Xenopus tropicalis: one gene and its partners. The main gene of each other region encodes a partner of the protein of the gene in region 2 in a complex. Links are inferred from orthologs where the notes say so. Each region holds a gene or a part of one and is shown on either strand. Other genes may lie near its edges.

Region 1 (3,931 bases), on a different chromosome or scaffold from region 2:
CTCAAAGGTAATACGTCTGTTTTAGCTTTTATAATTAGCCAAGTCTGCATATTTTCTGGGCTGTATTTTGTTAAAGGTAAACTGCTGCATTACTACATTCATTCAGGGAGGATTGCATTATAATGTATATGACATTGTGTACAAGGCTGAGACTGAAAATGAAAATAGGCCCTGGCATTACAATTGAAATTGTACAAATTACTAACCGTGCCCCCACAGGCCTAGTAATTGTCTGTGGCATCTTACAGCAGCCACTCTGGCATTTGGCAGAATCTACAGATTGTCAGTCAGGGCCTACTGTCTACATAACTAATACATTACAGTGGCTCTTAACTGACATTGAAATAGACATTAAAGCTTATATCTATCCTGTACAAATGCTAGGCAAGGATTTACAACTTCCCTAACATGGGAAACAACATGCCTAGATGCCTAATATTGCACATTTCCTTTTACTAATATTCTTTATATATACATTATCATCTTAATGCCATCTCTGTGGGGCATCTTTATTGGCACTGCTTCCTAACTTAAATTATTTAAACTCTCAGGGCACAGGACCTTACATAAAGGTGCCTTTTAATCCACATTTTGGTGCCTCTCATAAATCCTCATTATCTACAGAAATTCATAACATCCAATATCATACGGTATCTTGGCAAAACTTTTTGTGGTTATTCAGATCTCTTAATTAATAATGCTTTTATCTCTAAATACGTGGTAAAAATTTTTTATTCTTGCTTCTATTAAAGCCTTTTTGTGAAACATTTTTTAATCTTGCCGCAATGTGTACTTTGTTGGTAATCAAATAATAAAATATTTCTTATAGAAAATGCAATAAAGGTTTGTCATAAATATATTCACACTTATTTAACCAAACACAGCAGTGGATTAAAATAAGACATACATGCAAGCATCTTGATGAGAAGCTCATATGTATATTCTCTTTGCAGCCATGGGGTCTTCTAAAAAACATAAAGAGAAAGATCGTGATGTTTCCACTGCAAGTGGAGGTGATGAACGTCACAGGGAGCACAAGAAGCATAAGCATAAAGAACGAGAGCGTGAGAGACGCAAGAGGTCAAGGGAAAGAGAAAGAGAACGGCCACGAGAAAGGGAAGGCAGGTCCAAGTCAAGCAAAGAATCTGAATCACGAAAGATAAAGAAGGAAAAACTAGATTCTGTGTATGAGCATAGTAAGCAAAATTTTCATTCTTACTTTTGATGTTTTTTTAGAACATTGCATTCTAATCAAAATAGTTTGTGCAACAATTGTAAAGTCCGTTCATAAATTAAAGGAAAGCCCACCTCTGCAGGAAAGGTTATTTTCAGTATTGGGCAACTGACCTTTTATCATCAGTAGCCATTCCTAAATCTTTTTCCAGTTACCTAAACTACATGGTCGTCTGGATTAAAAATAAGAACGCTGGAGATATGGAGGGTATTTTTATATGCACAATAATGCATAGCCTGTGAAAATGGTTACTTATAACTTTGAGTTATACTTATTCAAAAAGGTTATGCGATTAGCCCAGTTAAGTGTTTTTCTTTCTCCTCCTTTTCAGCTATTGCTCCCAAATCTGCTGCTGGAGATTCATCATTGAGTATTGAGGAGACCAAGTAAGTACACGTCAAGGAACAGCATATCTTTCTTTACTGCTGCAGTTTAAAGTAAATGTAAAGGCTCAGTAAGCCATATTAGAAAATTCATTTCTTAATTCATTGTTTCCTGTGGTACGCAGGACCACACACACAATACATACTCCTTTATTTTAAAAAAGTATACTTTTGACCTGCAGCATCAAGATTTTTTTGATTTTTTTTTTTTTTTTTTGTGGGACATACACAGCAAAATCTGCTCTCCGTAAGTTAGGCACACAACAAGACAAGTTTTCTAACAGCCCTCTTGTGGGGGGGATTCTGTGTTGGATCCTGGGGGCAAGCAGTTCCACTTGAGGCTGAAAAAAACCTCAACATCACTTTTTCGATATTTGCTTTTTTTATTATGTAGTGTGTCTAGATTGTGGCTTTCAAAACATCTTCTAGTGTCCCTGTCCAGAACTGTATTAGTGTCACATTTCTAAAAGGCACTCTGTGCCTAGCAAAAATGGCCCCTTTATTGGAGGTCCCTATAGATCCTATCACTTCTCCGTCCAGTGTGAAATGAAGAGTGGGCGTGTCCTAACGGTCCCTGCCAGAAGCACAGTAGGAGGGGGAGAGCCAATCACAGCCCTGCACTCACACAAGCAAAGACAGGCTTCAGTTCCCTATCCGGTCGCCTAGCTGCTGATTGGTTCCTATCCTACAGTGCAGTGTACGGAGGGCCGCCGGCTCCCCTGCACATCCAGAGAATTCAGCCAGCAGGAAGTGGAACAGATGGGCGGGGCTAGTGGGGTTTTGGGGGAATTTTTCAATAAATCAGTCTGAAACACAACTTTTTAAGCACAATCCTTCTATATCTAGAGGAGTATAATTCACTGGTACATTCATAATTTTTATAGGATATGTCTCCTTTAAGGTAGCTGTTGAGCCTGAAACCACCCATGCACTCAGCAAGTACAGGTGGTTCTTTTCACCAAAACACAAATTAGAATATTGTAATAACCACTTGTAATAGCAGTTTCCATTAGGAATATGTCAGCAGCAGCTAAAATGCCTTTTTGTTACGCCTGATAATACATAATTTTATATACAGACGCTGTGACAGGAATATAGAAGTGTTTTAGCCTCTGCTTATTTTTCCTCACAGCAGCAGTCAAACCCACCCCACCCCTAAGTTCTGTAGATCTTGCTATAAGCATACATGGGGGGGGGTCACATGGGTGCAGTGTGATTTCCCACAGGTGACAAACACAAGCATCTTACTTGTGCCATTTGAATCATGCAATTGTTTAAAAACACAGAAAAAAGGCATTTTATCTTTAATGATTCAAATTGTTTAGATTTAGGTTTCAGGGAAATGTGGAATATGGAATATAAATGTTAACAGTGTAGCATATTTTCCTATGTGCTTAGAGAAGTGCATTTGGTGTTGATTACATTGTTTTTTACTTGGCATGTTTACAATTTTTTTTTCTTTTGATAGTAAACTTCGTGCTAAACTTGGTCTAAAACCTCTGGAAGTAAATACAGTTAAAACTGGTGAGTTAATAGTACTTCATGTCAGCACAAGTGAAATGTACTTGTCTTACTGCAGACTGTTTAGTATTCTCCCCTGACAAAATTAAACACTTTTTACAGAAGCCAGTAGGACTCATCACCATCATTCTTCTTTGTATATATCACCAGCAAGTTACACAGCGCTTTACATTAATTTATAGCAATAATTTAACAAACCAGGGTTACACAAGAGCTTGCAATTTAAAGGACAGGGTGCATCTGCATGCACAGTCTTTCCGACTTCTGCAAAAAAAATATAAAGGTGTGCAAGGTTTGGGCAGATTTTGAGGCCGAAGCAGGGATATGCACTCGGCTAAAAGGGGTTGGGGAGAACACTGCTCTTGCAGACATCATTACTTTATAAATTAGTCTCCGCTGCAACATGCGTTAATAATGTAATGAACAAATCCTTTAACGGAGACCAGAGGCACAGCAACATAATCTTATTTGAATCAGTCTCAAGTTTTATGTGACTATAGGCTCTAAAATTATATTCTCTGGGGTGAATGTGCCCTGTTCTCAAAACATTAATTTTATGTGGATTTTTATTTTGTAAAAATCTATAACTTGTACAGATGGCATCAACACTGGCATTATTATTTTTGTTTAGCGCTAATTTACAAAGTTAACAAATGTCGGTATCTTACTTTACCATTTTTTATTTATATAATGCTTTTTTTCTTTATTGTGAAAATGTGCAAACATTTATTCTGTTTAACATGTGCAGAGAGCGGCACTAAAGAAGATCCTGTAGCTGCTTCTGTCATTAATC
Region 2 (3,931 bases):
CCTTTTTTCTAAATTAATAAAGTGACTACTATGCTACTAGGCAGGGCAAGTAGAGAACCTGCTGCTAAAATCCTACACAGTTTCATTGCTTTGAATATCACAAGGAGCAAAATGCCAGTGCGGGATTTGCTTGTTTGTCATTAAGGTAAGAATAGGTCCAGGCCAGGGTCTAAACTCTTGAAAGGCACTGTATAAATGTAACAGCAAATAATCCACTAAAGGATAAGAATCAATTTCAAAATTCCCACAATTTAAGAATCATTGACATACCTTTGTGGTCAGCGTTTTTACTGGCTTCAAATTGAAATTGTAATCCAGATGAAGATAGTTAAGGTTCTTTCTGTGAATCAGCAAGTTCAGCATGTTATAGCCTTGGCGGCAAACCTGCAGGCCTACTTCCACCCAGTCCAACTTTGTCGACTGAAAGAATTTTGTGGCTTTAAATGAACGGAAGAGATACCTGCAAAAGGATTATAATCATTTAGCAGAAAGTAGACTACAAGACTTCAGATTACATGCATTGTAACTTAATTTGCTTACCTTTTCTTCTGAGCTTTTGGAGGCCTGTGTTTCAAAGCATTTAGCACATAGTACTTCAGCAATTTCTGGTAAGATACTCTGACTTTTACTGGCTGGCCAGCAGGACAATGCTCTCTGTACCTGAGAATGAAAGGAATATTCTTACTGGTCAGTTACTTAAACACTGAAAACATGCTGTCAACACAAATATCCCATTTTAATGATCCTATTCATTTCTGAACAAGCTTTAAATAATATTGTAACAATAATCTAAAGACTATCTGCAGGGGCAAAATGACTCTGGGACAGGCTGACAATGGAAAGTACTGTTTGGAGAGTAGTAGTCAGCACCAAACTTTGTGGTTAATTAGAGGCAGTGCAGGTTCCCCAATGGCCACTTTCCATCGGTATATCCAAATGTCGAAGAACAGGAACAGGACCTCTTGTCTTTTTAAATTAAAATGCCTTTATTGCAACATCTTCATATAAAAAGACAAGAGGTGCTGTTCCTGTTCTTCGACAATGGAAAGTACTGTGTCACAGTCAGTTTCGTTAAAGGCCCTGAGCAAGAGACCATAACAGCATTGTATAGCTTTTCTTTCAATTTACTAAATCAAAAAAAAAAAAGTTAGTAAAAGGTACAGCAATAAAGACAAATATGCAAGTTTTCGGAGTTTTCCTCCTCTTTAACAGCAGCTGGTTACCTGGCAGACAAACATTTTTAGCCACAATGGGCTCTTCAAAAAAAAAAAAAAATCCACTGAACTGCCAACAGCAGGAATATTAAGTGTAAAATTTTTAAAAATTAAATATCAAGCACCTTTTATATAAATTGTCCTGCACAAAACTTTTTCTGACGGAACTAGGTTAACATTGTAGGAAAAGTAATAAATATCAAGCTACTGCAATAAAACCTGAAGTCTGAATGAAAGTTTGCTCACCAGTTTTTCACAAGAGGAATATCAATAGCCCTCCTGGTCCTACCAGAACGCAAGTTGAAAGGACGAGGAGCCCAAAGTAAAGCAATTCCATTAGCGGTGTTATCTGAATACAGAGGAGTGTCTTTAAGGAATGGTTCAACATATTCTGGCAATTCAAATTCCTCATCATCATCTGGCAATGGCTCTTGGCTCTATAACGAAAGCAAGCAAAATGAAAACCAACAACCTTGAATAACTTCCAACCTACATAAAATGTATCCAATTATCTTTACTCTAGAATTTCTCACCTTTACAGAATGCCTGTGTGATATGGGATTAATCAGTGGGTCAAAATAGAATGCTGGTAAATCAGGATCCTCAGTTTTGATAAAAACCACATTTGGTGTGTGATACCTGTGAATGAAAACATAACAATTAGCATGGCACGAATAGCTTCTCTCCTCTTTTGCAAAAAGTAAATCATAAAAGTTAAAGGACATATTGGATGAATGGAAAAAACCCTAATATTGTAGGCAATTATGAATAATATACAGTGCTGGTATCACTTTGGGCTAAAAGTTAATCCTATCTGTAAAAATTGCCCCTTTATTGAAGCTCCCTATAGATCGTATCACTTCTCCGTCCAGTGTGAAATAAAGAGTGGGCGTGTCCTAAAATTCCCTGCCAGAAGCACAGTAGGAGGGGGGAGAGCCAATCAGAGCCCTGCACTCACACAAGCACAGACAGGCTTCAGTTCCCTATGAGGTCAGCCTAGCTGCTGATTGGTTCCTATCCTACAGTGCAGTGTGCTGAGGGCTGCCAGCTCCCCAGCTCATCCAGAGAATTCAGCCAGCAGGAAGTGGAACAGATGGACGAAACTAGTGGGGTTTTGGTGGAATTTCTCAATAAACCAGTCCGAGACAACTTTAAGCACAATCCTTCAATATTTAGAGGAGTATAATTCACTGGTACATTCTTAATTTTTATATGATATGTCTCCTTTAATACAGCTTCACAGAACAATCCTAAAGTGCTTATTTACTGCCCTACGCATAATTTACAAATTCAGAAAACTCAAGCTAACCCTTTCCAAGAGCAAATTACAAGTTAATACGGAGTTAGACAAATGAATTAAAACAGCTTTATAGAAGTAATGAAAAGCCCTAAAAAAGACATTTACACAGTTAGTTTAACAGGTAAGGCATAAAAAAAAGCAACAAACAAAAAAAAAAATTAAAACAATTTACCAGGTTAAATGTACATGGTGAGGAAGATTGTTGTACAGGTAAGGAAAAGCAATCTTGTATTCTGTTCGAATTGGCTGTCGGATAATTATCTTGTTAATATCATTAAACTCATTCCAATCTTCATCCCTGTATAAAAAGAGAAATCAATCAATTTTATCTGCTTGCACCAGGAAATGTACTAAAAACAAACATCACAGCAACATCACTTACTGCAGGTTAATGTCACGAACAAGAGGCTCAAATTTTGGCCCTCCAGGAATAGCCATGTTTAATGCTTTGGAGGTAAAGAATGCCTTTAGGTCAAACAGGTAGAAGTAGTTATCATCAACCAGGTCAGTCAGAAGCTGATTAGCCAATCGATATAATGTAGACATCATCGGAAGTGTAAACTGCCACCGCTGATAAGTAGTACCATTCACATACCTGAAAATGAAAGGCATTACAAATAAAACATGGCTTGGAAACTATTTGACAAAATTAGCCAATACAAGGAGAAATGAGCATTATGTCTACAGATACAAAAACCAATAGAGTAAGTAACTAGCATTACTTTCTGTTGTCTCTTAAGGGCTGGTGATCATAGAACCAGTCAGTGACTGGAGCATCTTCCTCTGGGTCCAGTTCAAGCTGAATGGCTTCCAGGGGTTCAACATCAAGGATATTGTCAGCATAATCCAGTGGAGGCTCCTCATCATCAAATGGAGGAAACCTCATCCTCTTGAAGTGCCGTCTGTCTCTTTTTTCTCGCCTCATCATAATCCACATTGACCTGGTAAATTATTGTGATAGAAAATACAAAGTCAATAGGAATATGGATTCATATATGAGATTGTTTTTAAAGAAAGGGTTTAGGGACATTAAACTTAAATGACTACTGACAATAAAACTGAGGCAGTGCTATTCTCAGGACCCAATATGCCAGGCTGTAATTGCATCAGTTGCACTATTTTCTAGGATACAAAACACCAAAATCCCAGCATGTTTCACTTAGCACTGCATTAGGAAGTTAGACTTTTGCACTGTATCTACATGAACTAAAATCACAAAACATTTCCAATTAACCAAATATGTTGTGAAACATCAATGTAAACCTATGGCAGTAACTCTCTTAATAAATGCACAGGATTTTTAATTAGATTGTGCTTTATCTTTTTAATGCATTTTGATCATAAGCTTATTATCAATTAATGTTGTTAGCCCTGCACAGGCTACTGGCACACAGAGCTGTTTAATTTACCATATTAT
Region 3 (4,515 bases), on a different chromosome or scaffold from region 2:
TTAATTTATATAATTGACATCTGGCCCATTTGCGGCCAAATATCGGTTGGGGTGGCTTGCTGGACGGCCCCATACACGGGCAGATAAGCTGCTTAAACTCTTTGAAAGACCCCAATCGGCATCTTAAATCTGCCCAAGTATGGCCACCTTTACACAAGGTAAACATTAGAGGCGGTGGCACATGAGGAGGTTGTGTACATTTGCCCCTGCATGATTTCAGCTCAGGGGTGACTAAATGTTCTATAATGCCCAACCACTAATCACCAGTCTAGGCCCTTCCAGTGCACTCTTGGGTCAGGTGATAATCGTTAGGAAATGGCTAGTGCCCTGTTTTTGAGCATGCCCACACTGGTATATAGTAATTTTGAAAACAACCCAGAATGCTAGTAGACCAATGGCTGTGACAGTTTGACATGCAAGGCTCCTGCAAAGTTCCTAAAAGGTACCTAGTTTGCCCATGAGCAGTAACCCATATAGGGTTGCCATCTTCTGACTGGGGAATGCCTGTGTGGGAGGCAGAACGGTGATGTCATGGGGTGAGGCGGATGATGTTGGAGGTGTGGTCTATGACATTGAGGGATTTGGTGGGGTTATGACATGGCGATCGGTGCCAGGAGTTCTGTCCGATTTCCCTCATTTGGAAAATGGGGCAGGGAGTTTGACCCGGACAGACAGACGTGGCAACCCTAAACCCATAGCAACCAATAAGATATGTGCTTTACAATAGGTGACCAGTAAATTCTACCTGCTGACTGGTTCCATCAGTTGCTGCTCCTGGGAAAACTTAGTGCCTTTTATTAAATAGCCCCATCCAAGTTTAAAAAGGTGCGGACTTTAAAAGTGGGTGTGGTCACTTCAAAATCTCAACAGGAATCCGCTAGAGAAGCATGAATGGGACAGCCCTTTTGGAACTGAACAGCTGCCTCCACTGCCCAAAGGAGTTTGGCTACACAAATATTGGAATTTCAGAAGCAAATCTGTCATTTATTTAGCAAGGAAACACTAGTTCATATTTCAGTGCATTTGAAGTCCTGCCAGCTTTAGGAACACAAGTACCAGGCAATGCCATGGCAGGGATGGTATATGAATAGATTGGCCCCAACAGCACCAGTATAACCTTCATGGAAGCAGCCCCATGGCCAACACTACGTGAACAGTCTCAGTGTTTCTGCTTTTTAAAGGAAAAAGTTCCGGCCGCTGCCAGCCCTATTACCTCGCGATCTGATTCCGCCGGATATGGTGAACGAAGCCGTGATTCATATCCAGCCTCCCACCGGGCCCGGCTTTGCCCTGCACCTCCACTTCCTCCTGCATACTCCCGGCTCTAGTCTACTTCCAACACGGGCACCCTTTCAATCCCAATACCGCCCCCTAGCTACCGCTGGTAGGAACTATCCCGTCGCAGCCGATTGTAGGAGAGATAGCGATTGGCTGTTTTTGTTTCGACAAAGGCTAATGTAGCCAATCAATGCATCCCTGACATTAGCGTTCCGTGACTCGTTCCTGTTGTATAGGAAAGTGTACGGAAGCGGCGTGGGGGAGGGGCTTCAGTCCAAAGAGAGGCGAGACACGCAGGAGAGTCGGTGGAGGCAGAATGAACGCTGAGAAGCGGGTGAAACTGGAGATGGAGGAGGAAGACGACGACGATGATGATGATGAGAGAGGTGAGGGAAACTCATTCTATTGATGCGACTTGGTGTGAATAGTGTAACGGATTGATTGAGTAAAAGCGAATGAAAAAGAGTGGTGCACATGTGTTAGCGTGGGGGGATAATAAATATGTGCTTCCTCCGCTTGTGTCTGTCACTGTGTCAGAGAAGGAATTTCTCCAGGGCCCTCACCATTACTAGGGCCCCCACCATTACTAGGGCCCCCACCATTACCGGGGCCCCCACCATTACCGGGGCCCCCACCATTACCAGGGCCCCCACCATTACTAGGGCCCCCACCATTACTAGGGCCCCCACCATTACAAGGGCCCCCACCATTACTAGGGCCCCCACCATTACCGGGGCCCCCACCATTACCGGGGCCCCCACCATTACCGGGGCCCCCACCATTACCGGGGCCCCCACCATTACCGGGGCCCCCACCATTACCGGGGCCCCCACCATTACTAGGGCCCCCACCGAGAAAATATGGAATCCCCCCCAAAACAGGATCATTAAACCTGTTTTGTCAGTGCTCCGGCCATGTCTGTGCATGGTGTCCCAGCATGGTACCTCTAAAGCTGGACACAAGGATGGCTGATTGGACCATTTAGGTCATTAATTTCTGTATGAAACTAGGTTCACATTTGCTGCCACCCTCTGATCCCTACCTGTGATTTTAGCCCAAGTAATGGCAGTGTCACTCTTCCATAATGTTTTCCTGGCAATCCAAGTGTGATTTGCAGGCCAAGCAGTTTAAGTGGGTGATACAGGTGAATTGTGCATGTTTAACTTCAGAACTGTACATATAACATATATATAACACGTGCATGTAATGCTGGCAGTTGTAGGAAAGCACGGGCGGTATGACTTTGAAGACAGACGTAGTCGCCATTGCCCATATCTGGATACCATTAACAGGTCAGTCTGGTTGTTTTGCTTGGGACTGTGTTGATTATGTACTGCTCACAAATAACACTGGTTCTGTTCTTACCAGGAGTGTCTTGGACTTTGATTTTGAGAAGCTGTGTTCCATCTCTCTTTCTCACATTAATGCATATGCTTGCCTTGTATGCGGGAAATACTTCCAGGGTAAGTAAGTGGCACAGAGTGTGTTGTTCAGATGAGCCCTTATTTTGTCAAATTTTTCTCTTTTTTTTTTTTTTTTCCCCCCCCAAGGTCGAGGCTTGAAGTCCCATGCCTATATCCACAGTGTTCAGTTCAGTCACCATGTTTTCCTTAATCTGCACACACTGAAGTTCTACTGCCTGCCGGACAACTATAATATCATTGACTCCTCCCTGGAAGACATTACGGTACTTGCACATCCTCTCTTGCCCCATTTGTTTATGTGACCTTGGCATTTTCTAATATGAAGACAAAAAATCAGGATGGCCCAGTTCATATTTGCCCAAGGTGCAATCTTAGTGCCCAGTACAAGTGGTATGGCGTTCCCAGAGTTTTTAGAGTGCACTGTTGACTTATATAACACAGGTGTCGGTAAGTTAAAGACTCTTATACTCTTAGACTCTTATACTCAAGAGCAACAATCCCTTCACTAACTTGATGTGTCTATCACAACACATACGTCTCCTTTAGTGAGTTCAACCACAGCCAGCAATTAGGATGGGAAAGGTAGAATAGCATATTATCCGCAAAAGAGCCATGGATCACCTGTACTGCTCTGATCATGCAACACACAGCAGGGCATACATCAAAAAGCAGATTTTATGGTCAGTAACAGGGAAACATAAGCCCAGTGATGGCAGAAATGTCTAGCTCCACTAGCTGCCTGTTGCCTTAGCATTTTTCCCCTTCCTTTGGCTGGCCCCCATTCTTCAGTACAGTCTTTCAAAGTTCTTTTTTTTTTTTTTTTTTTTTTTTTTTTTTTTATATAAGTGTGAATCTACACATGGAAACAAGGACTGGGTTTCTCCTTGGATTGAGAACATAGATGGCCTCAGGCCATAAGAGAGAAAGGTAGCTGTTCTTACAGAAGTAAAGGGCTTTGTAAAATGTGCACATTATTTCTATACTGTCTCTGTCTGTTCAACTGTGTCACCCCCCCCCCCCCATATTAACTTTGCTTTTCATGTTTTTAGTAACTATCTCTTTGTCTTCTACAGTATGTGCTGAAGCCAACCTTCACCAAGCAGCAAATTGGTAACTTAGACAAACAGGCCAAGCTTTCTCGAGCATATGATGGTACCACTTACCTCCCAGGCATCGTGGGACTTAACAATATCAAAGCTAATGATTATGCCAATGCTGTTTTGCAGGTAGGAATTTTCACAATATACAGGGCCTGTGTAACAGTTAACCACCTCACCTTCACTGCAGCAGAGAATCATCTCTCATCTATTTCACTGGATGCCCTAACATTCATCAGTCTGAAACACTTTAAACACTTTTGCTCCCACAGACCATAGTGCAGATTTCATGGCCAATGTACACTAATTTCTTTATGGTCACTTCCAGGCTCTCTCCAATGTTCCTCCTCTGAGAAATTACTTTCTGGAGGAAGAGAATTATTGTGATATTAAGCGCCCTCCTGGGGATATCATGTTCCTGCTTGTGCAGAGATTTGGGGAATTAATGCGCAAACTGTGGAACCCCAGGAATTTTAAGGCTCATGTCTCCCCACATGAGATGCTCCAGGCTGTTGTTCTTTGCAGCAAGAAAAATTTCCAGATCACCAAGCAAGGTGAATATCTCCACCCCTCTGTCCTGTTTTTTTCTGTTTATCTGAACATTTCAGGTCTCGCTCCAGTTTTTCCATGCTCTTTGTCCCGTCTTTTCCTTATTTTCTATTCCATTGCATATGTTTTTTCCCCCTTTAGATTGCGTATATAAACCCTTAGCATTT
Region 4 (4,703 bases), on a different chromosome or scaffold from region 2:
AGCAGCACAAGAGCAAGGCAGGAACAGGCACATGTCATTACTTACGAACATGACACTTTGCTGGCACCCAATATAAGGAATGTCAGAAAAGAAGCAACAAATGTGCCAGCATGCATTCTGAATCATTAGGTATCCCATAATGCCAAGAGTGCTCCGAACAGCCTCTGTACTTATGACTAGAGCAGGTCTCTGTCCATAAGTGCCTCCCCAGTATCCCTAGGCACACCAAACTGCCCTCGGTGCTATCAGGGGTGTCAAACAGATAAAAGTGGCCAGTGGACCCCTTGTTGCATTTAGCTGGCTGCTGGGCAACCTTTCCAGTGCCAAAGAAGAAGGGCAGAAAGCCTGGGCAAGTGGTGATGATAGTGGCATAGGTTACCTTAGTAACCTAACTTTATGGAGAGGAGACTCAGCTTTCCCCATGGCCAAAGAGGGACCCAAAGAGACAGGGGACCCAGTAAAAAGCAGCTGACATTCCCCATTCACAGCCCCTATGGCCCATGGGTGGTATGGGGGTGTCCAGAGATCCCAAGGTACACCCCTGGCTTCACTGTATTGGACAAGATTATTCAACTGCTTCACAGGTGCCAAAGAAGAAGGGCAGAAAGCCTGGGCAAGTGGTGATGATAGTGGCATAGGTTACCTTAGTAACCTTAGTAACTTAACTTTATGGAGAGGAGACTCAGCTTTCGCCATGGCCAAAGAGGGACCCAAAGAGACAGGGGACCCAGTAAAAAGCAGCCCACATTCCCCATTCACAGCCCCTATGGTCCATGGGTGGTATGGGGGTGTCCAGAGATCCCAAGATACACCCCTGGCTTCACTGTATTGGACAAGATTATTCAACTGCTTCACAGGCCTCATACACAGGCCAATTTCAGTTGCCGATATTTGTCCTTTAGACCTTGCCAACAAGCGGATCTTACAGTGTATGGCCCCCTTTATAATCAACTTGGTTCTCAGCTTCTTTTCTTACACAATACCCAGAAGTCATGGATACCATTACAAATCACAAGGCACTAGTACCCACCCAGGCGGCACACAATTATTTACCTACTGGGCACTTAGGGACCTAGACTGTGGGCCCCGCCAACAAGTCACCAATGGAAAAATAAGAATAATGGGCAGCACATGCATAACCAAGGCCCTGATCAACCCCAGTCACATCCCATTAGAGTAAAATCTTGCCCACAATCCACCTAAACCCTACCCACTCCCCCTGCCCTTTAATGACCAGTGAATCCTTCTTCTGGAGCCCCCTCTGCCACAGGGCCTCTGATTGCAGCACCCCTTTACCCCACTGATGGCAGCCCTTCCTATAGTAATTGGAAACACAATTGCAATTCTCTGCCCATGGCTATGATGCAGGCTACATGTTTGCTGAGATGTCATTTGGGGCAATGTAGTAAATCATAAATATCCCCATAGACACTGTATTGCCTGCTTATATAGTAACCTGGGATCCCTATGGAATGGGTTATTCTAGGTGCAACCATTAAGCAGAGATCATGTAAAAGCACTGCTAAATGCCAATTTGAGAGGGGAAAAAAGTACATAAACTTTCATAGAAATTTCTTTATTTTCCAATTACACAAATACAACTTTCCCCATTCGCGCCTTTAGCCTCGTTTGCAACACACACATGCAGTTGGAAGAACACCCCACTAGAGGGCGTTCTGAAGCGCCGCCCCCAACCTCGCACACTCATTGTTGTTTAGCACTTCCGCGTATTAGCGAGGTGCATGCTGGGAGGAGGCAGATTGAAGCCCGGGAAAACCTTATGGCTTGTTAGTTTGCGGTATGGAGGAGGCGGAGAAGAGAGAAACCATTATAGCTGAGCTGAGAGCGATAGAGAGCAGCGCTGCCAACCTGTGAGGCCCCGCTAGTGTGAATGGGAGAATGGTGACTATAGCGTTAGGCCCAGGGAGACAGTCACATGATGCAGTGTAAGGCGGCAGCGGCCCTGTGGATGTAGCGATCCGATTAGGGATATCCCTGCGCTCCTTCCTTGGTACCGCCATACCGGAAGTGTTCTGGGACGCGCATCCATTAATACCGTCCCGCATTTGTGCTTCAGGCATAGCTTCATGAGCCCGCACCTTGCCTGGCTGGCTGGGAAGGACATATAATGTGCAACGTTTGTTAAATATTTTGAGTGTATCTATCGGTGCTGCCTTCATTCTGGGGTTCCACTGTGACTTCCGGTATCACCCCAATAGGGGTGGGAGTTATAAATAAATCTCAACTTGAGGGTAGTGAGTTGGACATTGATGTAGTAAGCAGGAAAATATAAGGTACAGACTGGGTCCCACAATTCGGCCATATGCAATGGAATATTCTCCTGTTTGGTTAGAGATGCCAAGAAAGGCATAGGGAAGGGATTTTACACTAGAAGGAGCATCCCTGCTGGGCTCAGTAATGGAAATGACATGTTGTACAGTTCTGCACCTCACTTGGGTGGCGGGAATATCAAGGGGGCGGGGAATTAGAAGCACCCAATGACTGTCCTTAGAATACATTCAGACGTGTGATTGGATGATGGAATTGCATTTCTTATTATTAGAGATCTTTCTATTAATGTTGATGTGCCCTGTCTCTGACTGCACTGCTAGTCCTAACTCTTGGGAATGGTGATTCCTTCATTATTTATACATTGTCTGAATTTCTCTTTCATATTGGAAAATGCAGTCATACCTCCCAACTGTCCCGCTTTATGCGGGACAGTCCCGATTTTGCCACCCTGTCCCGCTGTCCCGGATAGCTGCAGATCTGTCCCACTTTTAAAGGTCTCTGCTCCCGTGACGCCACACGCACGTCTCCCCTTAGCGCCACAGCTTCTGCGCCGCTCACTTCAGTTTTAACATAAAGCCATTCACAGTGCAGCAGCTGCGGCACTCAAGAGACGTGCATGTGACGTCACGAGGAGGAGAAGAAGAGCCCTGGGGCACAGCCGGAGGAAGCTGGTGGTGGTAGGAGCAGGGGGTGCCACAGAAAGCAGGTTGACGCTGGGGAGGACACTGGAGGAAGGTTAGGGGCAGCTGGAGGACCCTGGGAGGCAGCTGGAGGATGCTGGGGGGAGCTGGAGGATGTTGGGGGAGCTGAAGGATATTGTGGAGGATGTTGGGGGGAGCTGGAGGATTTTGGGGGGAGCTGAAGGATTTTGGGGGGAGCTGAAGGATGTTGGGTAGGACGCTGGGAGGAGCTGAAGGATGTTGGGTGGATGCTGGGGGCAGCTGAAGGATGTTGGGGAGGATGCTGCAGTGGGGAGCAGCCCGTAGTAGGGGGACACTGCGGGAGGACCAGCAATGTTTTAGGGGGTCCCTGCTCTAGCGCCAATGCAAAACATAACACCTGGCTACCAATGTCTGGTCATGAGTTTGTCATTAAATACAGGTGCCACAGTGCATAATGAAATCCTTAGGGCCACAATATGTCATAAAATGATTGGGGCCACCGTGTCTGTCTTCTGGTGCACTTTGTGTATGTTATGCTTTTCAGGTGTGGTTTTGTAAAATGGGCCTGTTTGGGGGGGGCGTGGCCATAAAGTGGGCGTGGCCTAAAAATGTTGGCTTGCGCGCCAGACATTTCTGTCCCTCCTTCTGCTTTTCAAATGTTGGGAGGTATGAATGCAGTAGCATTGCTGGGTAGGCTGGCATGTTCCCATGATTTACTCTCTTATAAATACAGTCAGTGGCATGAATTTATATTTTGTGTTCGTTAAGTGACTCCTCGCTTTAGTGTTTTACACCATAACATTCCATTACACCTTTTTAGTGATCAAATTAAGGTGTTCTTTAAATTCTAAAATAGTTACTCATTTGCCTGTTATGGGACATCTATGTGTCTGTAGGCCTACAGTTCACCCTCTGTATACTGCCTGGCTGGGGTTTCAGGCCTGCCTGCCATTGCAAAGAGGTGGCCATTTAATTGAATTGGTATAAATGAATGTGGTTTTTGTCAGGAGAATCTACTTGGCAGTTAGCAAGGGAGGTGCTATGTGGGACATATTAATAGGCACCCTTGCAACTATTAATCATTTATTGGTGCCTATGAATTTACCTTTATAGATTCTAAGGTATGAAAATGGGTGGACACCCCTAGTGCCAACTTCTAGTGGCTCTGGTGCTGCTTCGGGATGGCAGAGATTTGCCAAAGTAAAAAATTCTTCCATGGTAGCTTCTATATTAGTCTGCATGTAATGTAAAATATGATGATGATGTTATGAATTTCGGACATGTTGGGACTCGATGTGAGGGCCGTTTATTTGGAAGAAATGGCCGTGTAGCTAATGTTAGGCTCTTCATGTAAAACTTACTGGCAGACCTTGCTAGGGTTGGCACGTAGTTGACAGGAGACAACTTGCTGACACTTGATGTGAGTGAGGACTGGTTATGTGGGATATATGTCTGTTTCAGTGGATATAATGAAATCCTAGCTACCGCAGGCTTTTATTCCAAGCAGAGGCTTTTGTTAGAACTTGAACACCAGTTAAAATGAACATTGAAGGTTCATGTGTGTCTATTTTTTTTTCTTCCTAGGGTGAAATCACTTAGAATATTGGTGGAATTCACAGACCCTGAGAAAGGAGAGCTGAGCCAGGCACAGGATAAGGTAATTGATTAACTGGGGAAAGAATAGCACTTTTTTTTTTTTTTAATTAAAATCAGTGTTTGCCATTGCTTAATGTTTTCTGGTCTGTCGCA
Region 5 (4,384 bases), about 34 Mb from region 2:
AGTGTTTGGTGCAGAGAGCAGCATCAGAAGACCCAGTCCAGTTCTCTCCTTAATGCCTGCCATAGTTTCTCATAAGCAAAGAATTAATCCTTCATGCTCCACTACATCTCTTAATAAGTGTCTCTACTCAGAGGTGACCCTTATATAGACCAATGTCCACACCTTAATAAATGACTGCACTTATTACCCTCCCATTCATGTGAATAAGTTTCCAACCTTCTTAGATGTTAAGACAGGACAAAGAACTCATTCTTCTTGTGTCTCAATGTGTGGCACTCAATCTCTTTAGCTGCTAATATTTTATTTATTGCACTGTAATATAAAAGTATTGTAAAAAAAAAAAAAAAAAAAAAAACAATTGCATATAAAATTAGAGTCACATAAAGATATATATACAAATATGTATATTTCGTAAGTCTCTGAATAATGAGATAAATACGCATAACATAGGGCAGGGACACTTTCATTCTTTTTCACTGCAGGTTCAAACCCATACACTGTGTAACTGGGTCACTGTGACAATAGATTTGTAATACCTTATAGTAATCATGGCTGCTACAACACATAGGGCTAAGGAAGTCACCCGAAGTTTCCTCTTAAGGCAACTTAAGGCGACTTCAGAAAATCGTAGTGACGCATATGCCATCCCACCGGCGATTTACATTCCTGCTGGTGGGATGGCATAGCAGGGAGATTAGTTGCCCGCAGCAACAAAGAATTGCTGCGGGGCGACTAATATACCCGTCTGTCACCTCTCTAAATTTACAAATACGCTTGTAAATGTGGCTCTATGTGCAGAATAACATATGGCCTTAATCCTTAGCCTATTTACTAGCGTATAAGCCAATATCACCAGTGATGTTGCACATAGCAAACAATCAGCAATTAAGAGTTTAGCAGTCACCTAAAAGTTAGAAATCCAAAGCAAAGATCTGATTGGTTGCTAAGGGCCACATCACCACCAATGATGTCGACTTACACACTATAATAGATATGCTCCATATAGAAGAGAAAGTGAAGGCATGTCCAGCCTATGAATCCTTCAGTGTGCGCTAACAGCATGTAAGGCACCTAAAGCCAACAGCCCCTTTTACTGGAGTAGACAAAATTACATGTGATGTGCCTAAAAAAATTGAATCACCTGCAGAGAAATATCAAGCTGCGTTAATAATGGTTTATGTAATAGCCTATTAATCTTCTTCTAACTGACTTGTTATATATTTTACCTTTGATGGGCCGCCATTTCGCTGTCTCCTCCCCGGCCGATCACATTTAACCAATTACAACAACTTCTACGTCATTTTCTCTTTCTCCTGTATCAGCCCAGTTGCTTAAACATCCTTATACGCGCAACCCCGCCCATCGTACGTCATTACTAATGGACAAAATCGGCGCAAGCTCTGTTCCGCCCCTTAAAGGCTTTCAAGGTCACATGATTGTCTTAGAGCCAATCACCACTATAATCTTTATCAGGTAGTGACTGCGCAGGATAATTGCGTGAGCATCCTGCGCTGCTGAGTGGGAACGCAAGCGAGTCTTACAGTGTGGCTGGGTTTGTGAGTGTTAGACAAGCTGGAAGGAGTTCTTGGAAACATGATCGAGCAAAACAAGCGGAAGGGAATGGAGTTGGTGCCGGTACAGGCAAAAAAACCGAGGAACGAGTTGGTGGTTTCGGTAAGAATGAAGAATTTGAATGAAATGGTTGGCTTGGATAAGTGTAACCATTCATTCCTTGGGCATATTTGACTTGGACTTTAGGTAAAATTATAGACATAATCTAAATCGTACCATTATTTCCTTTATTAAAAGATTTAGACGGTATAAGAATAAGCTAAAAAGTGTAATCATAAGGCTCTAACGTCTGAACATAGGTAGGGGTATAATTACTTATAGTATTGACTCGTCTTGTGCACCCCACACAGCCATTAAGGACCTTGTGATTACACTTTGCTACGCTAATGGGTTGTGGTTTTTCGTTTATGGGACTTTCTAGTTGTTTTAATGAAGGTAATCAAGTTAAAGTTTTCTTTTTTAAAAAAAAAACTTTATTTCCAAAAGTTATAAATAGTAAATAAAAAGCTAGTATTTTTACTGCTATGGGACTTTCTCTTAACCCATTTTCATGCCTTTTTTCTGAAAGGGGTAGTTCAGTTTTAAAATGTCCTTTAGTATAGTGTAGACAGCATGACCTTAGTCTGTATATCTGTTTCTCATGTTTTAGTTTGATTATTTCTTCTGCGCCTCTAAGGTTTGTTTGTTTAGACCTCAATTCTCCTAGCAACCAAGAAGTAGATTGGAACTCAAAATGGCAAATAATTAGGGAAGGATCTCAATAGACTGATAAACAATAGGCAATATAACAATAATACTAAAACTGAATTTTAAGGGGAGAAAATATGCCAAAGAGTAGTTAAAAGAATACTGACGTGGAACGTGTCAGTATTACTGACAATGCAGCACTTGGTTGGGCTTCCCCCAGCCCAAACACACTTACCCCATCCCAACACTACTACACGCAGAATGTTACTTTAACGAGTTGTCTGTCAGTCACACTGGCCTCCATGCAATCCTTCCAACGGCTGGAGTACAGTTTACATTTGTATTCCTGCCTATAGAATGATGGCACCACCCACAGCCCGCATGTCTGCAGGGAGCATCTCTTTATCCAGACTGCTGGCTTAAAGGAACAGTAACATCAAAAAATTAAAGTGTTTTAAAGTAATTAAAATATAATGTGCTGTTGCTCTGCAAAAAACTGGTGTTTTTGCTACAGAAAAGCTACTATATAAATAAGCTGCTGTGTAACCATGGGGGCAGCCTTTCAAGCTTGAAAAAAGGAGAAAAGGCACAGGTTATGTAGCAGATAACTAGTAGATCAGCCCCATATAATGGGGGTTTATCTGTTATCTGCTAAGTAACCTGTGCCTTTTCTCCTTTGAATGGTTGCCCCCATGGCTACACAGCAACTTACTTATATAAACTATAGTAGTCTTTCTGAGGGAAACACACCAGTTGTAGCAATGCAGGGCAACAGTACATTATATTGTAATTACTTTTATACACTTTCATTTTTTGGTGTTACTGTTCCTTTAACTCTGCCTGTGGTAAGTGTGACTGGGCTGGAGGAGATTTGGGGTAAATCTTCAATAAAAGCAGTAGTGTTGTGCTGCATTATGGGTAATACTGACAAGTTCCTTACTGTTATAGGAATGTGTCAGTGCCCCTTTAAAATAGAATAGAAATGGTAATTTATAGAATACTAAAAATTTAAGGTGAATAAAATATTTCTTTAGGTAATAAATGGAACTGAATCTACTTTGATGTTTAATTCTCTGAACTTGTTGACTGCAGGGTCCCCCAAGATCATCCAGTCTTCAGGCTCCCATCATGCTGCTTTCTGGTCATGAAGGAGAAGTTTATTGCTGCAAATTTCATCCCAATGGTGTAACTTTGTCTTCTGCAGGATTTGACAGACTTATCTGTAAGCAACTTTCACTTGTTTTATACGCTTTGTATTTTGCAGCTGTTTGACTTAGTAGCAGATGTTGTTTTTCATCTGTAGAATCACACAATTAATTGGCCATCTATACGTTACTAATTAAGGATTAATCTGCACCTCCTGTAATTTTGTTATGCTTTTTAGCTCCTTTTTAGCACATTATCACACTATACAAGCTGTAACATTAATTATGAATGTTACAACTGATCAGATTAAGAAAGTTATGCAGGTATGTGTTATTTTATTTTTTCTTTTCTTGTAATATTTAATCAAATTAAATAAGCTACCATGTTTTGGCAGGTTTGCCCAGCAGGTAACTTATTCTATTAAACAAAGCAAGTAAATTTAGCAGCACACATGAACTTCTTTGTAGGTATTTAACTGATTTGCAAGAAAACTGACACCGTCTGAATCTGGAATTTACAAGGAATATGAAACCATTTAAACTTTAGTTTTATGCTGCATTGTACATTAATAACAATTAGAATTTGAATCCAAAAATGAAGCTATGTATTTTACCCTTAAATTGTGAAGTTATTGAGTGAGTTTATTTTGACTTGCCTTGTAGTGCTATGGAATGTATATGGCGACTGTGACAATTATGCAACTTTGAAAGGACATAGTGGAGCAGTGATGGAGCTTCATTACAATACAGACGGGAGGTAGGTAATTGTCTGGTCTGGGGCTTATGTAGTCATTTTTGTTTTACGGGTACTGAAAACTATCCTGTGTATTACACATTGGTGGTACTAAATTATGCATACTAATTTCTGTAAAATTGCAAAGACCAGGATGCCAGACACTGTAATATCTTTGGTTTATGCCTGATTTTCCTTAAATGTGTCAGTGCTGTTCTAAATAGGATTTTAGTTAATATAGCTATCC
Region 6 (4,363 bases), on a different chromosome or scaffold from region 2:
TTGGGCAGGGCTCCCTTCCCCTCCTGTATTGGTTATTGATTGCTTTATATGTTACTCCTTGTAGAGTGTAAGCTCTTTTGGGCAGGGCTCCCTTCACCTCTTGTATCGGTTATTGATTGCTTTATATGTTACTCCTTGTAGAGTGTAAGCTCTTTTGGGCAGGGCCCTCTTCCCCTCCTGTATTGGTTATTGATTGCTTTATATGTTACTCCTTGTAGAGTGTAAGCTCTTTTGGGCAGGGCTCCCTTCCCCTCTTGTATCGGTTATTGATTGCTTTATATGTTACTCCTTGTAGATTGTAAGCTCTTTTGGGCAGGGCTCTCTTCCCCTCTTGTATCGGTTGATTGCTTTATATGTTACTCCTTGTAGATTGTAAGCTCTTTTGGGCAGGGCCCTCTTCCCCTCCTGTATCGGTTACTGATTGCTTTATATGTTACTCCTTGTAGATTGTAAGCTCTTTTGGGCAGGGCCCTCTTCCCCTCCTGTATCGGTTACTGATTGCTTTATATGTTACTCCTTGTAGATTGTAAGCTCTTTTGGGCAGGGCTCCCTTCCCCTCCTGTATCGGTTACTGATTGCTTTATATGTTACTCTGTATGCCCAATGTATGAAACCCACTTATTGTACAGCGCTGCGGGATATGTTGGCGCTTTATAAATAAATGTTAATAATAATAATAAATAACAAATGTAATAAGTAAATTTAGTCAAATGGGAGTGGTATTTAGGGGGTGTGGTTGCACGCAGCGTTTATTTTTGTCCCTGTTTTCAGTTTCAAAATGTTGGGAGGTATGTAACCATGTCTGATTCATTGATAAAAGCGACCAACAATGTATTTACTTTCTCTCCTGGGGCCCTTCCATTCCTGGCTAAATGACCTCTCTCTGGTTATAAAACCTATAACTATCAGGAAAAAGCCCTGTAACCCAATCCCATTTTAATAACCAGTGGCAATAAATGACAATTATTTTTTAATGTTATTACTGGTGCTTTAACTTAAATTGTGCATTAATAAGTCAGTGGGATGCACCAGTGACAACTACAAGTCCCAGCATCCCCTGCAAGACGACTACTTTGTGACCTGCAGCAGCTATACAGTCATATTTCAAAGCGATACAACTTCATTTGCCCTACTTCCGGTTTGACTTCATCACTTCCTGCGCGTCATCCGGCTGCGACACCCGCGTCTCGACGAGTGCTTCCGAAAAACGAAAGGTTTGTTGGATACTTACCGAGCTGCGCTAGAACTAAGGGGATCTGGGAACTTGTGAGGCCTTTAAAGTTGCAAAACACCGGCCCTTATTTACGGCAGGTCGGCCCTGGGGGCGGGGCCTGTTTGATACGAATCCCCTCTCCGTTATTTATGTTATAAACAGGGTTATACTGAGGAACCTGCAGGGATCTCTCTTCCCCTCATGTTTCCTCACACCGAGCGGTTTTCTTGCATTTTCCTGGTTTTAGACTTTCCCCCCCTTTATTTTGTATACAAGTTCCCTTCTACTCACAGGGTCTCTTAACCCAATAAGGGGTAATTATATCTTAGTTGGGATCAAGTACAGGTACTGTTTTATTATTACAGAGAAAAGGGAATCATTTAACCATGACATAAACCCAATAGGGCTGTTCTGCCCCAATAAGGGGTAATTATATCTTAGTTGGGATCAAGTACAGGTACTGTTTTATTATTACAGAGAAAAGGGAATCATTTAACCATTAAATAAACCCAATAGGGCTGTTCTGCCCCAATAAGGGGTAATTATATCTTAGTTGGGATCAAGTACAGGTACTGTTTTATTATTACAGAGAAAAAGGAATCATTTAACCATGAAATAAACCCAATAGGGCTGTTCTGCCCCCAATAAGGGGTAATTATATCTTAGTTGGGATCAAGTACAGGTACTGTTTTATTATTACAGAGAAAAGGGAATCATTTAACCATTAAATAAACCCAATAGGGCTGTTCTGCCCCCAATAAGGGGTAATTATATCTTAGTTGGGATCAAGTACAGGTACTGTTTTATTATTACAGAGAAAAGGGAATCATTTAACCATTAAATAAACCCAATAGGATTGTTCTGTTCTAATGGGTTTCCAGATAAGAGGTCCAATACCTGTAGTCTTTCATAGGGATGCACCGACTCCACTGTTTTGGGATTCAGTTGAACCCTGAATTCTTTTGTGAAAGATTCGCTGAATCCTGGTACAAAGGGGCTAAAGAGAACTCCTCCTTTCCGCTATCATGCGATGAAAAGTCATGTGACTTTAGGGATTCGGTTTGGCCAGGCACTGGCCAAATCCTGTATTTAATGCATCCCTATTAATAGTGCCTGTTGCCTTTTCTATAGGATGTCTAAAAGGAAGGTCACATTTGTGGATGGGGCTGAAGACGACGATGATGAGCAGAAAAAAAAAAGGGTAAGTTAAGAAGCAGAGCCGAATTGCACCATGTCGCTTTTCTTTTTCCAAACTGATCCCAGTAACCTTTATAAAGACGCCATTATATAGACGGTCTGCATTAGCCAATGTGCATGTCTGACACGGTCTCACCCCTTTATTGAAGCTCCCGGATGTAGTGGGAGGCCCAGGAAGTCGATTTAAAGGGAAACATTCTCTGGACAGCGATGAGGAAGATGATGAGGAAGAAACCAGTGATGGACGTTCTGCAAAGTATGACATATTAGCCCCCGAGGATGTTGAAGGTGAGATTCCATAGCAGGGTGCCCGCTTTGTGCCTCTTGTAGTATTATAAACCCCTTTACAAGAAACAAGCGGACGCATAATATAAGGATGTTTGGGAGAGGGTAGCTAAAGATACCTGGTACTGAAACATCCTATGCATAAGTTGCCCCCAGGCCACCCTAGTGTATTGGTACCCACAGTAATGATGAGGGAGTGAGCTGCAGGAGCAGTGCTGCTTGCTTTGCTTATGCTGAGCTGGAGGCAGGCCAGTAATTCCATAGGCTGAACTGCAATTTTAAACTCTACTGCAACCTATCAAAAGATGGCACTTCCTCCAGCTCAGCATAACTTGGGCACAATGGGCTCTCCACTCCCAGTCACCTAAAGTCATATCAGGGTGTCTGCTGCAGTAAGTACCCATCAGCTGGGGGTGGCTTGGGGCAGTCATCTACAAAAGAAGATCATGGCCATTTTGCGGACTACTTCATACTGGATATTATAGTAAAGTCTTTGTACAGGCTATGAGCAAAGCAAATGTTATGCTGACAGATACCATAAAACTATGGCAGCATAGGGATTCCCCTGTACTAAGCACAATTCAGCAGGAACAGCCCCCTAAGTTTGCTCATAGCCTGTACAGAGAGATACCATAAAACTATGGCAGCATAGGGATTCCCCTGTACTAAGCACAATTCAGCAGGAACAGCCCCCTAAGTTTGCTCATAGCCTGTACAGAGAGATGCCATAAAACTATGGCAGCATAGGGATTCCCCTGTACTAAGCACAATTCAGCAGGAACAGCCCCCTAAGTTTGCTCATAGCCTGTACAGAGAGATGCCATAAAACTATGGCAGCATAGGGATTCCCCTGTACTAAGCACAATTCAGCAGGAACAGCCCCCTAAGTTTGCTCATAGCCAGTACAGAGAGATACCATAAAACTATAGCAGCATAGGGATTCCCCTGTACTAAGCACAATTCAGCAGGAACAGCCCCTTAAATTTGACTTAAATTTGTCTTAAATTTGTCTTTGCTCTTCTTCCTCTGCAGGACAAGAAAACGCTACTCTGGAGTCGGAGGGTGGTGTTCCGATTACTCCTTTTAACCTGAAGGAGGAAATGGAGGAAGGGCATTTTGACTCTGAGGGCAACTATTTTTTGCGTAAAGAAGCTCAGATTCGGGACCACTGGCTTGATAATATAGACTGGGTGAGTGAATATGAATTGGGAGAACATGAAACGTAATAGCAGAATTTGAGTCCCTTCAGGTGGAACAGGGTGATTACAATCCAAGAATCAAGTTGGGCACTGTATGAACACAGTCACATTAGATGCCTCTTGGAATGCACTGAACCCAGTATTCAGTTTGGGATTCAGGCAAGATTCTGCAGAATCTGTAAAATCACATGAACACAGAAGTAAAAAATTAAGCGCGCGCTTCATTTAACTGTTCCGTAGCTTAATTTGCACATGCAAATAAGGATTCAGTTCAGTATTTGGCCAAATCATTTACAGAGACTTTTGGGGTTCGACTGAACCCAAAATAGTGGATTCGGTGCATCCCTAGATGCTTCCCAACTTTTTAGATTTAAGGCTGTCGCTTCTCTTCATGACGCCCTAAGCATCCCGTCATGTTCAGATCTGTTCTTGCACCCCACCAGTGGCATTGGCCAAGGGAAACTGGCAC
Region 7 (4,381 bases), on a different chromosome or scaffold from region 2:
TAAATCATGGTCTGCTATATCATAACACATTTTCAGAGTTAATTGTACTACATTTCTTGCCCACCATCACTTGGAAGTATTCATATTCTTCAGACAGAAGAACACAAAGTAGGGCCTACAACAGACCCTATATCTCAGATATCAATACTGGCTCAATCAGGTCAATTCGTAGCAGGAAATATTTATTCAACAATCTATACGAATTTAATGACTGTCACTAGGAAGCCCGTGACAGCAAACTCCAGTTAAATATTTAAATACTGCGTATAGGAAGCTTCTGGGGATCAGCAAAGCGTGTGTACACAGAAAAAGTCAGGAATTCGGAACAAGGTGGAAAATCATGGATGGGCGGGGCTTTCAGAAGGTATAAAAAAATTAAAGTGAATTTTCGAAAAACAGCAGCACCTTCAATATACAGGTGGCAATGGCGAAAATAAGGTAAATAAAACGCGTAAAAATGATGTTCTGCATTATGAAAATGTAATTGAATATCACTCACCTCTGTTACAAACAAACCCCATAACAGGAAAATCAAAAGAAGCTTCATTTTTCCAGGTCACGAGCCTTAGCAAAGCAACACTCAAACCGCCAAGCACCATTTGTTAACTGTTACTCAGCGCCATCTCCTGGGCCTGCGCACTACATCCAAGTCTTCAGGTTATCCTCCCATTCGCAATGTATTAGTGACAGGTCCCAAAGGCCAAGCCCCATAGTAGAGCAGTTCAATAGAAAGCTGTAATGAAAATGGTAGATGACTACAGGATGTGACGTAACTACGCACGCTACACGCCATATTTGTTTATGGAAAAGTGATTCCAGAAAAAAGTGAAAGGGTGAAAAAAAAAAAAAACGCCCGCCCCACAGGCATAATATTTTTTACAGAGTGTGGGTAATTCAAAATGACTTAATCCATCATATAATTTTGCGATTTGTAGACAGAAAATAAGTTACCATTCACAACTATTTATTAAATTAGGGTTATACACCTAGTCACGGCGACATTATAATTGTCGAGGGCAGTCAATAAAGCTATTTAAAAAAAAAGAGAAAAAAAAGTAGACTCTTCCAAACCAGTTAAAGTCGTAGGGGGTGTGAATGAAATTCCTCAGTGAAAATAAAAAATACATAGCGAAGCACTTTCTTAAGAAAACTTTTAACGTGCTTAACTAGTTTAGTCTAGTACTTCATAAGGATGGAAGAGAGAAGTTAGGAGGAGCAAAAAAATTAATCATAATTAGGTGTACAGGTGCCCCCAGAGCTGATTAAAATGGGTACGCCTGCCCCTAGGAACAGAGGCGCGGGAAGATGGCGGTGAGTGTGTAGAATTTAGTGAGCTTTCGTCCGGTAGAGTTGGTCAGTCATATATAGTGGATTATGGAACGTTTTTTCTTTTTATTGCGTAGCGGGTACCCATGATTAGAACATATTGCTAAAGACTGTAAAACAGTGGGAGGTGATTAAGAGGAACCGTAATTATGCGTCCTATCACATCCACTTAAGACGCCGCGCACGCGGCAAAGTACTCATGCGATGAGGTATATTCGCAGCCGTGTGTTTCTTCTTTTTATGAGCTGGGTTATCCAAAGTGTTGTATATAAAGTGGTCAGTAAACAACTCTTAATTATATCCGAATTAAATGTAGTTCCAGGGAAGGAGAGGCAAGGAGCCCTAGGAGAGTCATGATACAGATCTAATGACAAACTGATCAAAACAATTGTTTGAATGGTGCTCCTTTCCCCCCCCCTCTTAAATGAAGACAATACCCCCCATACATTGTAGGTCTCTATAAAATATATTGCATGAACAAGCTGAAATGTAAAACTCTGCTTTATCTAAAACCATTTTCATAAAAATATACTTTTTTTTTTTTTTTTTTAAGCAGATTGTGCTATTGGGTACTCCTAAGTAGAAGATAGCCATTTTAAGAATTAAGGATTGCATAGGATTCACAGTGTACAAAAAATGCAGAGACACACACACACACACATGCTAGGTCACATCAGCCAATGAATGGACATAGTTTTGTCTTTTGCTTCCAAACCTTTCCCTGTTAGAGCTGCATTATTTCTGGTCATGTGATCTCTGAGGGAGCACACAGCCCATCACTAAATGGTGGCTCAAGGGAAAAGATATAAAAGGCCAATATTTACAGATATATTCCAGTTTTGCGAGATTCTTTAATAGGTCACTTAACATAACCAAAAGATTATATTTGTTTTTTATTAAGTATTCATTCTGGGGGTATAGTTTTCTTTAACCTTATCTGAGCTTTAAAACTTTTGGAGCCATATTTTCTCAAATCCTCTTACTATATAGCCTAGTATTGCTCTTAGCAGCTCTAAATGTATAAACATATTTGATTGTTTTTCCCCAGGACAAAGAGAAAAAGAAAAAGGAAAGCATTCTAGACCTCTCCAAATACATAGACAAGGCAATTCGAGTAAAGTTTCAGGGTGGAAGAGAAGGTATGCTTTCTAAATGTGAATTTCTAAAGAATTCTACTTTGCCATGCATTCTTAAAACAATTATTACTACAAAGTACTGCTACTAAAGCTTTGCCATACGTTATAAGATTCACTTGTTTGACAAGGTCGCTGAATGAGTGTGTCTTTCACTGATATGGACCTTAAGGTGGGCAAAATTGGGCTGATTGTATCAAAATTGTCTCTATGCAGGCAAGTAACTAGGACTACAGCAATCACAGATGTAGTCCTTGATTCAACAGGAAAATCAAACCTGCAATCTACATTTTGTCTGTATACAGTATGCTACAGTATGCAAGACGTGGCAGTTATGCTGTAGCTTAAGTACTTGAATTACTTCCAGAATAGTTGCTGTGTGCTACAATTTCAGAGATAAGTTAGTAACTTAGGTTGGAACATATTCAGAACATATTCAACCTTTTATGTCTAAATGAAACCTTTCTAACTGCTAATTGCTCCAGTTTTGTAAATTCCCACTATTGTTATCAGATCACATGAAAAATATGCACATTTTTAATAAATCCAAATTGTTAGGGCTGTTTATTTGCAAAGTGATTGCATTTTAATTAATGCAGCTGGATGTTCCTGACTTGTCTCTGATTTTTCAACTTTAGGTCTTCTAAGGTAAAGACCTACATTTTTTCATCTGTGCATTTCTTTGCAGCAAAAGATACTATCCTTTATTTTGTGCAATAGAAAATGGAGAGAGGTGCTGCAGGGGTTGCTTCCTCCTTAGGCAGCAGGGCTGATGTTCCTTCCCCAACCACCCTCACTCTTTTTACTTTTGTGCATTGCTTCCCCTGGTAGCCTGCCATACACTGCCATTGGTTGGCAAGTTTCTCACATATTAGGCACCCACTCCTAGTAAGTATAATTACTAACTTTCAAACCCAAGCCAGTGCTCCTCCAGCCTGGAGTACATTCCCTGTAAGTGCCGCCATCTTTTATCAGTCTTCCAGGATTTTTTAAAACCCTGCTTCATCTTCAGTAAACCTTCATCTAAATAAATGGTACAATCCAAAAGTTACGAAATTTTCGTATCCGAACGAAACAATCCGGCGCAAAAAACTTTCTGACTTTGAACCTTCAATGCATGATTTTGGAAGCCTCCCACAGGACTCAATGGCACTCTGCAGCTTGAATGAATTTCAAAACTTTTGTAGTCGTTGCGATAATTTCGATTTTGTCTCACAAATTTATTCAAAGCACAAAAAAGTTGCGGAAATTAACAAAAATATTGTGGAAAATACACAAAGTTCTATAAATTAGAAAAAATACAAATTTTTTGTAATCGTACCCATTCAGACTTTGATAAATCTGCCCCAGTGTGTTCACATACTTTTTTTGTGTGCGCCACAATTTGTTGTGTGTGTAGGGCTTAAAATGTATGTGTGGATCCTCCTCCAGCTCTAGGTAATTTTAATAAACCAAGTGCATTTTTCATTTTAAATATTTTTATTCAAATAAAAAATCTTAATGTATAGCCAATGCATAGGGAAATGTAAAGGGAGTGATTCTTATTTTAAGGGGAACACCTTTTATTCTGGTTCTCAAAATTATTGTCCAGCAGTGCTAGCAGGAACTTTGTATATAAATAAAATAGAGCAATTGAGTAAGTAGAATGAAGGATCCAGCCAATTTAATGCAGTTGCCTAATTTGCTGCCACTAAAATTGTTTACAACATTTGTGGAGGAAGTAGTGCTAGGTAAGGCTGACATAACTGAGTTCATTCTAGTGTAAGACTGTGGAAGCAGTTTGAAAAGCATCTTTTTGGAATTCATAAACTACTTTTGCAATATCTGTAAAGTCTTTAGTAGGTTTCAACCATACAAGATGTTAAATCTCGCCCTGTAATACACCAGCTAAAATGACATTTTCCTGAGAATCATCTTCCATT

The links.
Region 1: prpf8 (region 2) and sart1 share a complex: the UniProt entries of both Homo sapiens proteins name them as parts of the U4/U6-U5 tri-snRNP complex. The link is inferred for Xenopus tropicalis from reciprocal best matches to the Homo sapiens genes PRPF8 and SART1.
Region 3: prpf8 (region 2) and usp39 share a complex: the UniProt entries of both Homo sapiens proteins name them as parts of the U4/U6-U5 tri-snRNP complex. The link is inferred for Xenopus tropicalis from reciprocal best matches to the Homo sapiens genes PRPF8 and USP39.
Region 4: the proteins of prpf8 (region 2) and tssc4 are in contact, whole or in part, in a cryo-EM structure (PDB 7PX3), measured with the Homo sapiens proteins. The link is inferred for Xenopus tropicalis from reciprocal best matches to the Homo sapiens genes PRPF8 and TSSC4. Residues at the interface, in NP_006436.3 of Homo sapiens: Thr2087, Asn2088, His2089, Ile2090, Tyr2091, Val2092, Ser2093, Ser2094, Asp2095, Lys2108, Leu2111, Lys2112, Glu2184, Thr2219, Pro2220, Thr2224, Leu2225, Leu2262, Leu2263; in NP_001284587.1 of Homo sapiens: Pro153, Asp154, Tyr155, Glu160, Arg161, Trp162, Thr163, Lys164, Tyr165, Ser166, Leu167.
Region 5: prpf8 (region 2) and snrnp40 share a complex: the UniProt entries of both Homo sapiens proteins name them as parts of the U4/U6-U5 tri-snRNP complex. The link is inferred for Xenopus tropicalis from reciprocal best matches to the Homo sapiens genes PRPF8 and SNRNP40.
Region 6: prpf8 (region 2) and cd2bp2 share a complex: the UniProt entries of both Homo sapiens proteins name them as parts of the U5 snRNP complex. The link is inferred for Xenopus tropicalis from reciprocal best matches to the Homo sapiens genes PRPF8 and CD2BP2.
Region 7: prpf8 (region 2) and lsm7 share a complex: the UniProt entries of both Homo sapiens proteins name them as parts of the U4/U6-U5 tri-snRNP complex. The link is inferred for Xenopus tropicalis from reciprocal best matches to the Homo sapiens genes PRPF8 and LSM7.

What each region holds. Positions count from the first base shown.
Region 1 is NC_030680.2:38,865,888-38,869,818, forward strand, and holds part of sart1 (U4/U6.U5 tri-snRNP-associated protein 1), read left to right. Parts: intron 1-953; 5' UTR 954-955; coding exon 956-1,196; intron 1,197-1,565; coding exon 1,566-1,620; intron 1,621-3,085; coding exon 3,086-3,141; intron 3,142-3,886; coding exon 3,887-3,931. UniProt on the Homo sapiens protein: Plays a role in mRNA splicing as a component of the U4/U6-U5 tri-snRNP, one of the building blocks of the spliceosome. May also bind to DNA.
Region 2 is NC_030678.2:45,523,585-45,527,515, reverse strand, and holds part of prpf8 (pre-mRNA-processing-splicing factor 8), read right to left. Parts: intron 3,456-3,931; coding exon 3,237-3,455; intron 3,110-3,236; coding exon 2,897-3,109; intron 2,813-2,896; coding exon 2,687-2,812; intron 1,854-2,686; coding exon 1,748-1,853; intron 1,652-1,747; coding exon 1,461-1,651; intron 661-1,460; coding exon 541-660; intron 461-540; coding exon 271-460; intron 1-270. UniProt on the Homo sapiens protein: Plays a role in pre-mRNA splicing as core component of precatalytic, catalytic and postcatalytic spliceosomal complexes, both of the predominant U2-type spliceosome and the minor U12-type spliceosome.
Region 3 is NC_030679.2:125,759,135-125,763,649, forward strand, and holds the start of usp39 (U4/U6.U5 tri-snRNP-associated protein 2), read left to right. Parts: upstream 1-1,569; 5' UTR 1,570-1,594; coding exon 1,595-1,664; intron 1,665-2,494; coding exon 2,495-2,570; intron 2,571-2,646; coding exon 2,647-2,741; intron 2,742-2,828; coding exon 2,829-2,965; intron 2,966-3,775; coding exon 3,776-3,928; intron 3,929-4,127; coding exon 4,128-4,353; intron 4,354-4,515. Other genes in the region: UPF0561 protein C2orf68 homolog, read right to left, coding at 1,214-1,314.
Region 4 is NC_030680.2:22,340,475-22,345,177, forward strand, and holds the start of tssc4 (protein TSSC4), read left to right. Parts: upstream 1-1,698; 5' UTR 1,699-1,871; exon of another isoform or gene 1,872-1,946; intron 1,947-1,969; exon of another isoform or gene 1,970-2,294; intron 2,295-4,538; 5' UTR 4,539-4,611; intron 4,612-4,703. UniProt on the Homo sapiens protein: Protein associated with the U5 snRNP, during its maturation and its post-splicing recycling and which is required for spliceosomal tri-snRNP complex assembly in the nucleus.
Region 5 is NC_030678.2:79,149,754-79,154,137, forward strand, and holds the start of snrnp40 (U5 small nuclear ribonucleoprotein 40 kDa protein), read left to right. Parts: upstream 1-1,521; 5' UTR 1,522-1,593; coding exon 1,594-1,674; intron 1,675-3,351; coding exon 3,352-3,481; intron 3,482-4,067; coding exon 4,068-4,161; intron 4,162-4,384. UniProt on the Homo sapiens protein: Required for pre-mRNA splicing as component of the activated spliceosome. Component of the U5 small nuclear ribonucleoprotein (snRNP) complex and the U4/U6-U5 tri-snRNP complex, building blocks of the spliceosome.
Region 6 is NC_030685.2:13,551,394-13,555,756, reverse strand, and holds the start of cd2bp2 (CD2 antigen cytoplasmic tail-binding protein 2), read left to right. Parts: upstream 1-1,165; 5' UTR 1,166-1,214; intron 1,215-1,230; exon of another isoform or gene 1,231-1,311; intron 1,312-2,344; 5' UTR 2,345-2,345; coding exon 2,346-2,414; intron 2,415-2,559; coding exon 2,560-2,698; intron 2,699-3,727; coding exon 3,728-3,885; intron 3,886-4,363. UniProt on the Homo sapiens protein: Involved in pre-mRNA splicing as component of the U5 snRNP complex that is involved in spliceosome assembly.
Region 7 is NC_030677.2:92,742,200-92,746,580, reverse strand, and holds the start of lsm7 (U6 snRNA-associated Sm-like protein LSm7), read left to right. Parts: upstream 1-1,279; 5' UTR 1,280-1,305; coding exon 1,306-1,311; intron 1,312-1,515; exon of another isoform or gene 1,516-1,530; coding exon of another isoform or gene 1,531-1,602; intron 1,603-2,374; coding exon 2,375-2,465; intron 2,466-4,381. Other genes in the region: sppl2b (signal peptide peptidase-like 2B), read right to left, coding at 500-547. UniProt on the Homo sapiens protein: Plays a role in pre-mRNA splicing as component of the U4/U6-U5 tri-snRNP complex that is involved in spliceosome assembly, and as component of the precatalytic spliceosome (spliceosome B complex).